Macaca fascicularis: one gene and its partner. The protein of the gene in region 2 purifies or fractionates together with the protein of the main gene of each other region. This does not show direct contact. Links are inferred from orthologs where the notes say so. Each region holds a gene or a part of one and is shown on either strand. Other genes may lie near its edges.

Region 1 (4,545 bases), on a different chromosome or scaffold from region 2:
CTCAACTATTTTGTCCCACCGAATACTCAAGAGTCAGCACAGTCCCTGCCATAACAGAGTAGGTAAGCAATACTTACCTGCCAAGTGAATAAATGAAACACCCGATTCCATCCCCCAGGCCAGCTTAATACCACATTAGATGATCTCACGGACTGAATAAGACATCCTTCCTTTTAAAGAATATTTTTATTTTAGCTTCACATTAGCAAACTCAGAATGGTTTATTGTTAAGATCAGCCTGGTAGAGAGGAAAGCTATTAACCTTCTAGGGTCCTAAAGTGGAACTAGGAACTGATTAGATACGCAGATTTTCAGGCATTATTTCAGACAGCCCAGTCAGAGAATTCTGGGGGTGTGGCCCAGCAATCTGTTTTAACAAACCTTTCGGGTGATTCTGACACACACTAAAGTTTGAAAGGTTTCTTTAAGGCTTTCCAGTTTTCTTTTCTTTTTTTGGAGGGATGGTGGTGGGGGGGGGGTCTCCCTATGTGCCCAGACTGATCTCGAACTCCTAGCCTCAAGCTATCCTCTCCTCCCACCTCGGCCTTCCAAAGCATTGAAATTACAGGCCTGACCCACTGCGGCCCGCCTCCGTCTTTAACTTAAAAAAAATTTTGTTGGGGGGGGCTAAATCCCTTCTATTATCCCGCTAGTAGAATCTTACTACTCCTGAGGGTAATCTTTGTCATAGTCCAAAAGCCTTGAATAAAGGCTGTTTGTAGTTTTGCAGAATATATTCCTGGGCGGTTTGCCTTCCTCAGGAGCTCAGGCCTTGGGAGGTGGGGGTTGGGGGGCAGGGCTACATTCTGAAGTCCTGTAACAACGCACAAGTACAACTGAATAAAACTCGGAACAAAGGCATCAGGGCCACGGTGCAAGCCTTTGTTCATCCGTTCCCCGACTGCTCACCCTGTGTGATATCTCTCTTTTCCACCCAGAAAAGCAGCCACTCAAGTTTTAAGAATGGATGCATGCCGCGGACGTTTTCGATTAGGCCGTTTTCTCCCAGGCACTGGAGGATATTCGTGGCTGCAGGAGGCGCTTCCACTCTTTCCTCAACCTAGCGGAGAAGTAACTGAAACTAACCCAAGGGCTACCACCGAAAAGCCCCTTCCAGCTTCAGAAGCAGAACTAGAAGCTCGGCTAGACTTCTCCGTCTCTACCCTCCTGGAAAACCCGCTGTGGATTTCACTAACTTCAGGATCGGAGCCCCGGCAGGCGAACGCACCTTATTGCGCATGCTCGCTAGCCCCTCCCGCTCGGAGCGGAAGGGGGAGTGCTCGGGGCCTGGGCCCGGCCTGGCCGGGGCGTCGGCACCGGCGGCCATCTTGGCTTCCCGGGGAAAGGCGGCGTGAGGGGAAGAAGTTGTAGGGTGGGGGCAGGAGTGGGGAGGAGGGAAGAGAGAGGGGGAGGAGGCCGCGGCGGGGCAGGGCGGGGACTGCCTGCCTGCTTGGGTTGCGGAAGTGATAGCCGCTGACCGAGCCTGCTGCTTTCTTGCTACTGCTTCGGCTTCCCGGCTACCCCCCGGACGGTGAAGGCGGCCCGGCTGTGGATGGTCAGATAGCGCCTGTCTCCCGCCGCCAATCTCTGGCCCCTAGCAGCACGGAGCAGACGGCGGCAGCAGCAGCAGCAGGCGAGGAGGAAGATGGCGGGACGGCTGCCGGCCTGTGTGGTGGACTGTGGCACGGGGTAAGGGGGCTTACGGGCGGGGGTGGGGAAACTGAGGCGGAGGAAGGAAAATGGCGGGGGAGGGAGGAGGCCGGGAAATGAATGGTGCGGCGAGGTGCTGCCGCCGGCTGTCAGTCCTAGACTCGCCGGCCAGCGAGGGGTGGGGCCCGGAGCCAGGGCCTCGCCGGTCCCCTCGTTTCTCCCTCCTAGGACTGGGGCGGGGGCGCGGGCCCCAGATTCAACCCCCAACCCTCCCTGCAGCTTCCTCCGCGCGACCCCTCCCGGCCCTTCCCCCACTGCGGTGGGCAGTGCCGCCCAGAGAGTGCTAGGGACGGTCGTCTTAGGGGTGGTCCCCGGGCCCGACCCATCCGGCTTTGCTTTCCCTCCGTGTCCCTTTTTGCCAGTCGGTGTGGGGACCCAGGGGCCGAGCTCGGGGACTGGCCTGGTAGAGGAGCTAGAAAAGAGAAGCGCTCCTGGTAGGTTTTGCAAGATCGCTGTGACAACATTCTGCCCAGGGTGTGGGTGGGGAAAGGGAAGAATCGGACTCTGAAAATGGGAACCTACAGTGGGGTTTTCATTTGACCACCCACCTTCTCCTTTCGACTCCCGGTCATTGCCATCTCCCTCTGCGTTTCAACCGGTGAACCGAGTCACATTTTAATTCGAGGGAGAAAGATGTCATGTGTTACTTCTGTAGCCTCAAAAAAGTCCCCCAGTGAGCAAGCGCGCTGTAACTTCCTTAGTTTTGTCAAAGCCGCTTCCTGCTTTCAGTCTTTTATACCCTTATAAGGTAGTTTTTAGTTTCCAACCTGAACACATCTTATTAGAACTTTTAAAATTAAGCAGATTTTAAAGAGACTGAATTACAGGTGCTTGGTATCCATTTATATGACTTAAAAAATGTGCTTATGTTTCATGGAGAGGGGAGAAAGGAAGCACCCTGGGAAATAAACTAATTTAAGTTGTATTCGTTCATTCTGTAAAGGTATCTTGAAGGAAGCAGAAAGGTATAGAGGTATATAGGAATGTGTTTAAGTTGCAAGTAGTTACTCCTAGATCTGTAGGGTAGTTTGCTAAAATGTAGAATGGCTTAAAAGTGATCTTTCATTTTGTATTAATAGACATTTTAGAGAGTTGTACCACACTCATAACTACATAGAGAATAGACTACTCTTATTTTAATGTAGAATCACTGCTTCACGATGACTTATAGGAAAGGGTTCTTTTTTTCTGTTCTAATTACATCTCTCCAATTCCCAAAACACTCCCAATTTTTTTTTTTTTTTGAGGGGGAAGGCAGTGAGAGGCTTGTTTTTTTATTAATTATAATTATTAATTTCATTATTGTTACTTAAAAGATTGTGTGTCCTTCACTCTTTATGTGAAATTTCTTTAATCTTCATTCTCATAACTAGCTAGTGTGGCAGTTTCTAAAATCCCAATTAGGTAGAGAGAAACAACCAACTTCTTAATATTCTCCCTAGGAAAGCACTAGCCTAGATTAGCCTTGGAACTTCCATGTATTTTATTGATGAACACTTTATTATAAAGTTTTTCATGAACACTTTATTATAAAGTTTTTTCTTAATTGGTTCTCATTTCTCGGAACCAATAGTTTTTTTTATTTCCCCCTTCTTAGTCTAATTGATGAGTAGTTTTATGTCTAAGTTCAGTTTTAAAATTAGATTTGGCCTGAGTCAGTAGGATAGAACTTTTTAAATGTGTTTTGTTAAAGTGACGAATATTGCTACATAATTAATGCTTTAGAAATTACTGAGTTGTCAAAAAAATAGTGTAAATAACTGTGGCCCTAAGAAATAATATGGTAACATCTCAAGTAGTATGTTACTTTTCTAATCTCCATTTTTCCCTCTTTGAAATAGTTTCGAATTAGTATACAAGATGTCTCATTGAGGTCATCTGTCCTTAAGTGACCTCCTTTCCTAAAGGGCAACCTTGAATTTAAAACATGCTGAATGACCAGTAGGATCGGGGAGAGGGGTTCAATTTAACCTAGAGTATTTCTGTTTTAAAATTACAATTATTACAATAGTATATTTTTAAGTTATTACACTGGTTTCTCTGATAAGGAGAGGTTGTTAACTGCACTTTGATGGTTTGAATGGAACTGATTAGGAGTCCCCTTGCCACCTCCCTCTCTTTACCATTTGTCACAATCTGAAATTCCCCCTTTAGAGTTTCAGTTATTTTGGTCCTCAAAAGGCTTTTTGGTCTTGCAGGTTGCCAGTGGTGCCTCCTGGGAAGTTACACTTTCAGCTTTATTAGCACATGGAGGATAAGTCCTTGAGGTCGAGGACCCTGAGATAAGCATCTCTAAGTATGGCCTTAACAGGGAGCTTTTACATTTCAAAATTCTGTGGGCCCCGAATGCAAATTGTGCACCTATAATTTGTCTATTTCTTTATGCTTTAGAGAATGCATTCAGTTCTTAGGTCTCTAAATTACAATTACCCACTTAGTTTAAGTAAAAAGTTGTAACCTGAATCAGGTTGCTCATTTCATTCGTTATATAAATTAGGGAAAAGGTGGCTGGAAAAAAGTGGCCATCTGTAAAACTTGATCGTCTTAGATAAGAAAGCTTTTAAGAGTTAGGAAACTTGAAACTTAATCCCAAAACTTGTCGGGATCGTCCAGCAGAACTCAACATATGAATCACCTAGATTCAGGTCATGAAAGAGAATGCTTATTTTGAAAAGAATTTGAAAAGAAATACTTCATTCACATTGATACCCTTATCTACACACTTTTTTGGTTTGTATTGGAAAGTATTGTAAAATACAATTTGGGCACATAGATTCCCATTGATGGCTTAAAAACTAAACAACAGAACTTCAACTTGCTATTAGTGGTGAAGAA
Region 2 (4,679 bases):
CTAAGGCACACTCAGGCACCGCATGATTTTTTTCCCCCCTCAACACTGTCAGCCCTGACATAGTATAATACGAATTTTTAAATGCTGTCTCCCTGGGTGGAATGAAAGTCCATGACCATGAGCAGGGACATTATTCCATTTACCAGTTTCTTTGGGGGCTGCTTCTTTACTGGTAAAATGGGCACTTCTGGGTTCAAGTTCCTTCTGACTCGGATGTTTTGGGGATATGAATTTCTGCTGTCTCGTGGCAGGCCTGAATCACAAAGACTTTTTCCCAGATATGGAACTGTATTGCAGGTGGGCTTTTCGTGTTTCCAGGACCCCTGAGACTGTTTTTTTTTTTTTGAGACCGAGTTTTGCTCTTGTCGCTCAGGCTGGAGTGCAATGGCGCGATCTCGGCTCCCTGCAACCTCCACCTCCCAGTTTCAAGCGATTCTCCTGCCTCAGCCTCTCGAGTAGCTGGGATTACAGGCCTGCGCCACCACACCCGGCTAATTTTGTATTTTTAGTAGAGACGGGGTTTCAGCATTTTGCTCAGGTTGATCTTAAACTTCTGACCTCAGGTGATCTGCTCGCCTCGGCTCCCGCAGTGCTGGGATTACAGGCGGAGACTTTTCTTTAGCGCCAGTTTCCCACTATGGGAGTCTGTATCCTGGTTACCACGGAAGATTAGGTTGCATCATAGTCTGGCAATAGTTTTTTGATCTTTAGACACAGTTCAATGAGAAGTATTCGAAGCAGTAAAAATGAATCACATTCCAACTTTTATTAACAAGGGTACTATTAGATGAAAACAGTTTTCATAGTATTATATAAAAGACCCATTTTACTTACCCTAAGGCTAAGATCAATTAACAGAACCCCTGGGGTAACAGCCCAGGCACCAAATCTGACACCTCAGAGTCGTCCTTGACTTCCCTAACCCGCTTTCCCGCATCTCAGATTCTGAGAATTTGGTTTCTATCAAGATGTGCCTCTCAAGCCAGGCCTCTCCTGCCAGGACGGTGGCCACAGGGCCATCTCCCTCTCCTGGGGCCCCAACTGCCTGGTCAAGGTGACTGCTACACACGTGGGGCCGCAAAATCCCTCGAGTCACAATGTCTTCAACGCCTTGTCAGCCCTCTGATCGCACTAAACGTCTTTAAAGCCTCCCACTCCTTTAACAGGGTCACCTCTGTGTAAAGGCGACCTCCTCGTGCTAAGTGTGGCGGCGTTCAAGATTCCGAGACACAGACCCCTCCCGCGTCACTCCCCGGGCACAGGAACTCCTACTCATCCCTCAGTCATCAGCTCGAAGGTTTCTTCTCCAAGAAGCCTGCCCAGCACCCGAGAAGTAGAGCCGCGAGCCTTCTCCCGGGCGCCCAGTCTTCCCCCGTACAGGCAAGGATCACCCCGGAAGCCCGCGCCGGGCCCCGCTGAGGCCAGCGGTTCCTCGGAGGCGCGGGAAAGCCGGATCACCAGCGCGATTACGGCACACACTATGCGGGGCCTGCAAGGATACCGGGCGGCCACTCCTCAGTGGTAAGACAGAGGCTCCGCGGAAAAGAGACTGAGGCCGCGGAAACCCCATACCGCACTCCACGGGACAGGTTCCGCCCCGCCCCGATGACGCTTCCGGATCCGGCGTGTGCCGGAAGTGGGCGGGCGGCGGCGGCTGCGCGCGGAGGCGGTGGAGGAGGTGCTGGGAGCAGCCCGGTGGCCGCTTCCCGCCCCCGAGCCGGAGCCGGTGCGAGTGGAGCAGAGCTGAGGTCGGGCCGCGAGTGGAGCCGGCTGAGCGGGCGCCGAGCTCCCGCCATGGCCCGGAACACGCTGTCCTCGCGCTTCCGCCGGGTGGACATCGACGAATTTGATGAGAACAAATTTGTGGACGAGCAGGAGGAGGCGGCGGCGGCGGCGGCGGAGCCAGGCCCGGACCCGAGCGAGGTGGACGGGCTCCTGCGGCAATATCCTTTCCTGACGCGGCGTCCGGGCCTGCGCGCGGCCTTCCCACCTTCTCGGGCCCCTTCGGGCGGGCCTCTGCTGTCTCCGACCCCCGGCCCCCTCAGGTCAGCCTTCAACTCCCTGCCGACCTGACTCCCCTGGGCCGTGCTCCCCTGAGTCCTGGTCTCCCTGGGTCCTTCCTCCCCAGCCCTGGCCCCTTCTTGTGCAGCGCAGCCCCGCAGGCCCTTGGACCCGGTGGACGGGCTCCCTCGGTAGCCCCGCAGGTCCCGCGCCCCGGGCTCTCTTCCCCTCTTGCCTCCTCGTCCCCTCACGCTGTCCCTTTCTGGGGGCCCCAGCACTCCGTCCCTCCCTTGCAGGAAATCGGGCCTATGGCGGGGCTGGGTCGGCGGCAGGGCGGAGGTGAGCCGTATCTGAGTAACCGAGTGATCGGTGAGGCTGGGGCGCGGTCTTCCGGGGCCAGATTGCCGCAGGGCGTGAAGATAGGTGGGTGGACGGCTGTGGGGAAGACAGGACCCAGGAGGGAGTGGAGGCGGCCGCCCTATTTCAGCCCTGGGGTCTAAGGTTGTGCCTCCCCTCCCCCAGTCAGTCTGACCCTCCCGCTTAATGCTGAGAAAGGGAAACCCTGTGGTTCCTCTGGTCACCTTGGTGGTCTCAGCTACGCTCAGCAAGTGAGTCTTGGCTCCCCCCAGTACCCTTCTGGTGCAGGAAGCAGCGGAAAGAACTAGTAGTTCAGAGCTAAGAAAAACCAGACACCTTGAAGTGAAGTGTGAAAGTAGAGCCCCACGCCTGGAAATGACTGTTCTTGTGGCCACAGAAAACAGCATTTAGAAAAGATTAAAAATAGAGGTGATTGTCACAGCCTTGCTTGGTCCTTTAGCAGTATGAGCGCAGGAAACTGACTTATTCTCACCGGAAGGATTTTTCTTTATTCAAATGGTGTTCCAGGAAGCCTGTCCCCTCCCCCCGCACGGGCGGGGGCAGGGTTGGAGGCCCATGCTGTACATAAATCAGGTTCTCGGTGTTGAACCAGTTGACTCAGCTTGGAAAGTGGGGCCTGCTGCTTTAGGGGGAGCCCGGCAGTGCTCCTCAGTGTGCCTTTAAAACGAAAACCTTCAGACTTGGTTTGAACAGGAATGTGTTTTCGGAAGTGGAGATTCAAGCTTGTCATTCCTGCCCCATCAGGATCCCCCAGTCCACCCTAGTTATGAAATGGGGTCAAGGGAAGGGTCCCCAGGAGGGAAGGTTGGTTGTAGTCAGGTGCAGGGCCTGGCTTATGGAGAGTCAGTGCTGAAGGGGGCTCCAAGGTCAGGCCTTTGGCCCAGGACCCTCATTGAACAGATGAGGAGGTCAGGCCTGTCAGCTGCTGCCTTGGTCTGGGTGCAGAGCCTTGTTGAAGGTCATGTCTTGGGACTCCCCTGCCTGGTGACAGGTTCCTTGAGGCTGCTTAGAGGCCTGGGTTTAGCACATCCCGGGGATGGTCGTTTCTCCATTCATGGCAGCGGCAGAAACCTTGTTACCATGGAGAGTGTTCCACCTGGGGTTGGGGAAAGGGAGGTTAGCGGATAAAGAGAACTGAAACCCTGGCAAATACCGGACCCAGGTAGGGAGGAGAATGGAACTGATATTTATTGGGTCTCTATCATGTGCCAAGAATTGGACTTAGACCATTGAGGACAGGGGAGCAGGGAGAGGGATAGAGGGATTGGGGTTGGGGAGGGCAGAGAGGGACCCTGTCCTGGGGCTATATAGGGAAGTGTGTGTGGCGGGAGATCACGCAGATGGGGTAGAAGGAACTCGGCTGTGCATCTTCGCACACCGCGCGCCATCATGCTCTGGCTCTGACCTCGGATAGGTCACATACCCTCTCACAACTCAGCATTCTCCTCTGTGACGTGGCAGACAGCCGTGCTGGCTTCCTAGGTTCTGTGGGAGCCTCATGGGCTAACATCAGCATCAGGGGGCACACAGCAAGTGTCTGCTCAGGTCTGCAGCTAGAGCGGCAGCACGGGATTGTGGGAGGAGCTTGGGTGCCAGGGCCATCTAGACAGCTTAGTTTTGTGACCCTGTGCAGGTAATTTCCGTTCTCTGAGCCTCAATTCCATTGCCTTTCAAATGAGATAATGATTGTTGTTACTGGGATTTTTGGAATGAGATGGCATGTGAAAGCACCAGGCACAGGATCCGAGACCTTGTGGCGATTTAAAAGTATGAGTTCCTTTCCCCTCAGTGAAGCAGCTTCTAGACTTCTGGATCAGGGCTCTGGCCAGAGCAGTGGTTTTGAGCGATTTTGCACCCCTCCCCTCCACCTCAGGAAATTAGAAACATTTTGATAGTTACAGCTTGGGGATGCCACTGGAATCCAGTGGGCAGAGGCCTATGACCCACAGCTGAGATCCCACGTCAGAGAATCGTGGGTCCACAGTGTCAGTTGTGCCGTGATTGAGGAAGATCTAGAGATCAAGGGCTGGGCAGGGTTCCCCCAGCACCACAGCCTATTCTCTGAAAAGGTCTAAAGCCAGCCAAGTATGACAGCCGGCTTCATGAATGACAGGTGATTTCAGGGAGGCCCTCCCTGCACCCCACATCACCCAGCTGCTGAAGGCCCTCACCCATCAATGGACTGAGTGATTGTTGGACACATGGTGCTGAGGTAACGCCACAGCAGGGGCTTTTTGCCCCCGTGGACTAGTTTTATCCCTGCCCTTCCCCAACCATCATTTGAATGATTCCATTTGTTA

What was found.
Region 1: the proteins of ARPC5L (region 2) and ACTR3 purify together in Homo sapiens (affinity purification with mass spectrometry; 6 studies listed by BioGRID and IntAct, counting the BioPlex papers as one, with this or other methods). This does not show direct contact. The link is inferred for Macaca fascicularis from reciprocal best matches to the Homo sapiens genes ARPC5L and ACTR3.

The regions. Positions count from the first base shown.
Region 1 is NC_088386.1:17,948,736-17,953,280, reverse strand, and holds the start of ACTR3 (actin-related protein 3), read left to right. Parts: upstream 1-1,338; 5' UTR 1,339-1,645; coding exon 1,646-1,689; intron 1,690-2,258; exon of another isoform or gene 2,259-2,382; intron 2,383-4,545. UniProt on the Homo sapiens protein: ATP-binding component of the Arp2/3 complex, a multiprotein complex that mediates actin polymerization upon stimulation by nucleation-promoting factor (NPF).
Region 2 is NC_088389.1:19,194,980-19,199,658, reverse strand, and holds the start of ARPC5L (actin-related protein 2/3 complex subunit 5-like protein), read left to right. Parts: upstream 1-1,697; 5' UTR 1,698-1,794; coding exon 1,795-1,944; coding exon of another isoform or gene 1,945-2,045; intron 2,046-2,297; coding exon of another isoform or gene 2,298-2,355; exon of another isoform or gene 2,356-4,431; intron 4,432-4,679. UniProt on the Homo sapiens protein: May function as component of the Arp2/3 complex which is involved in regulation of actin polymerization and together with an activating nucleation-promoting factor (NPF) mediates the formation of branched actin networks.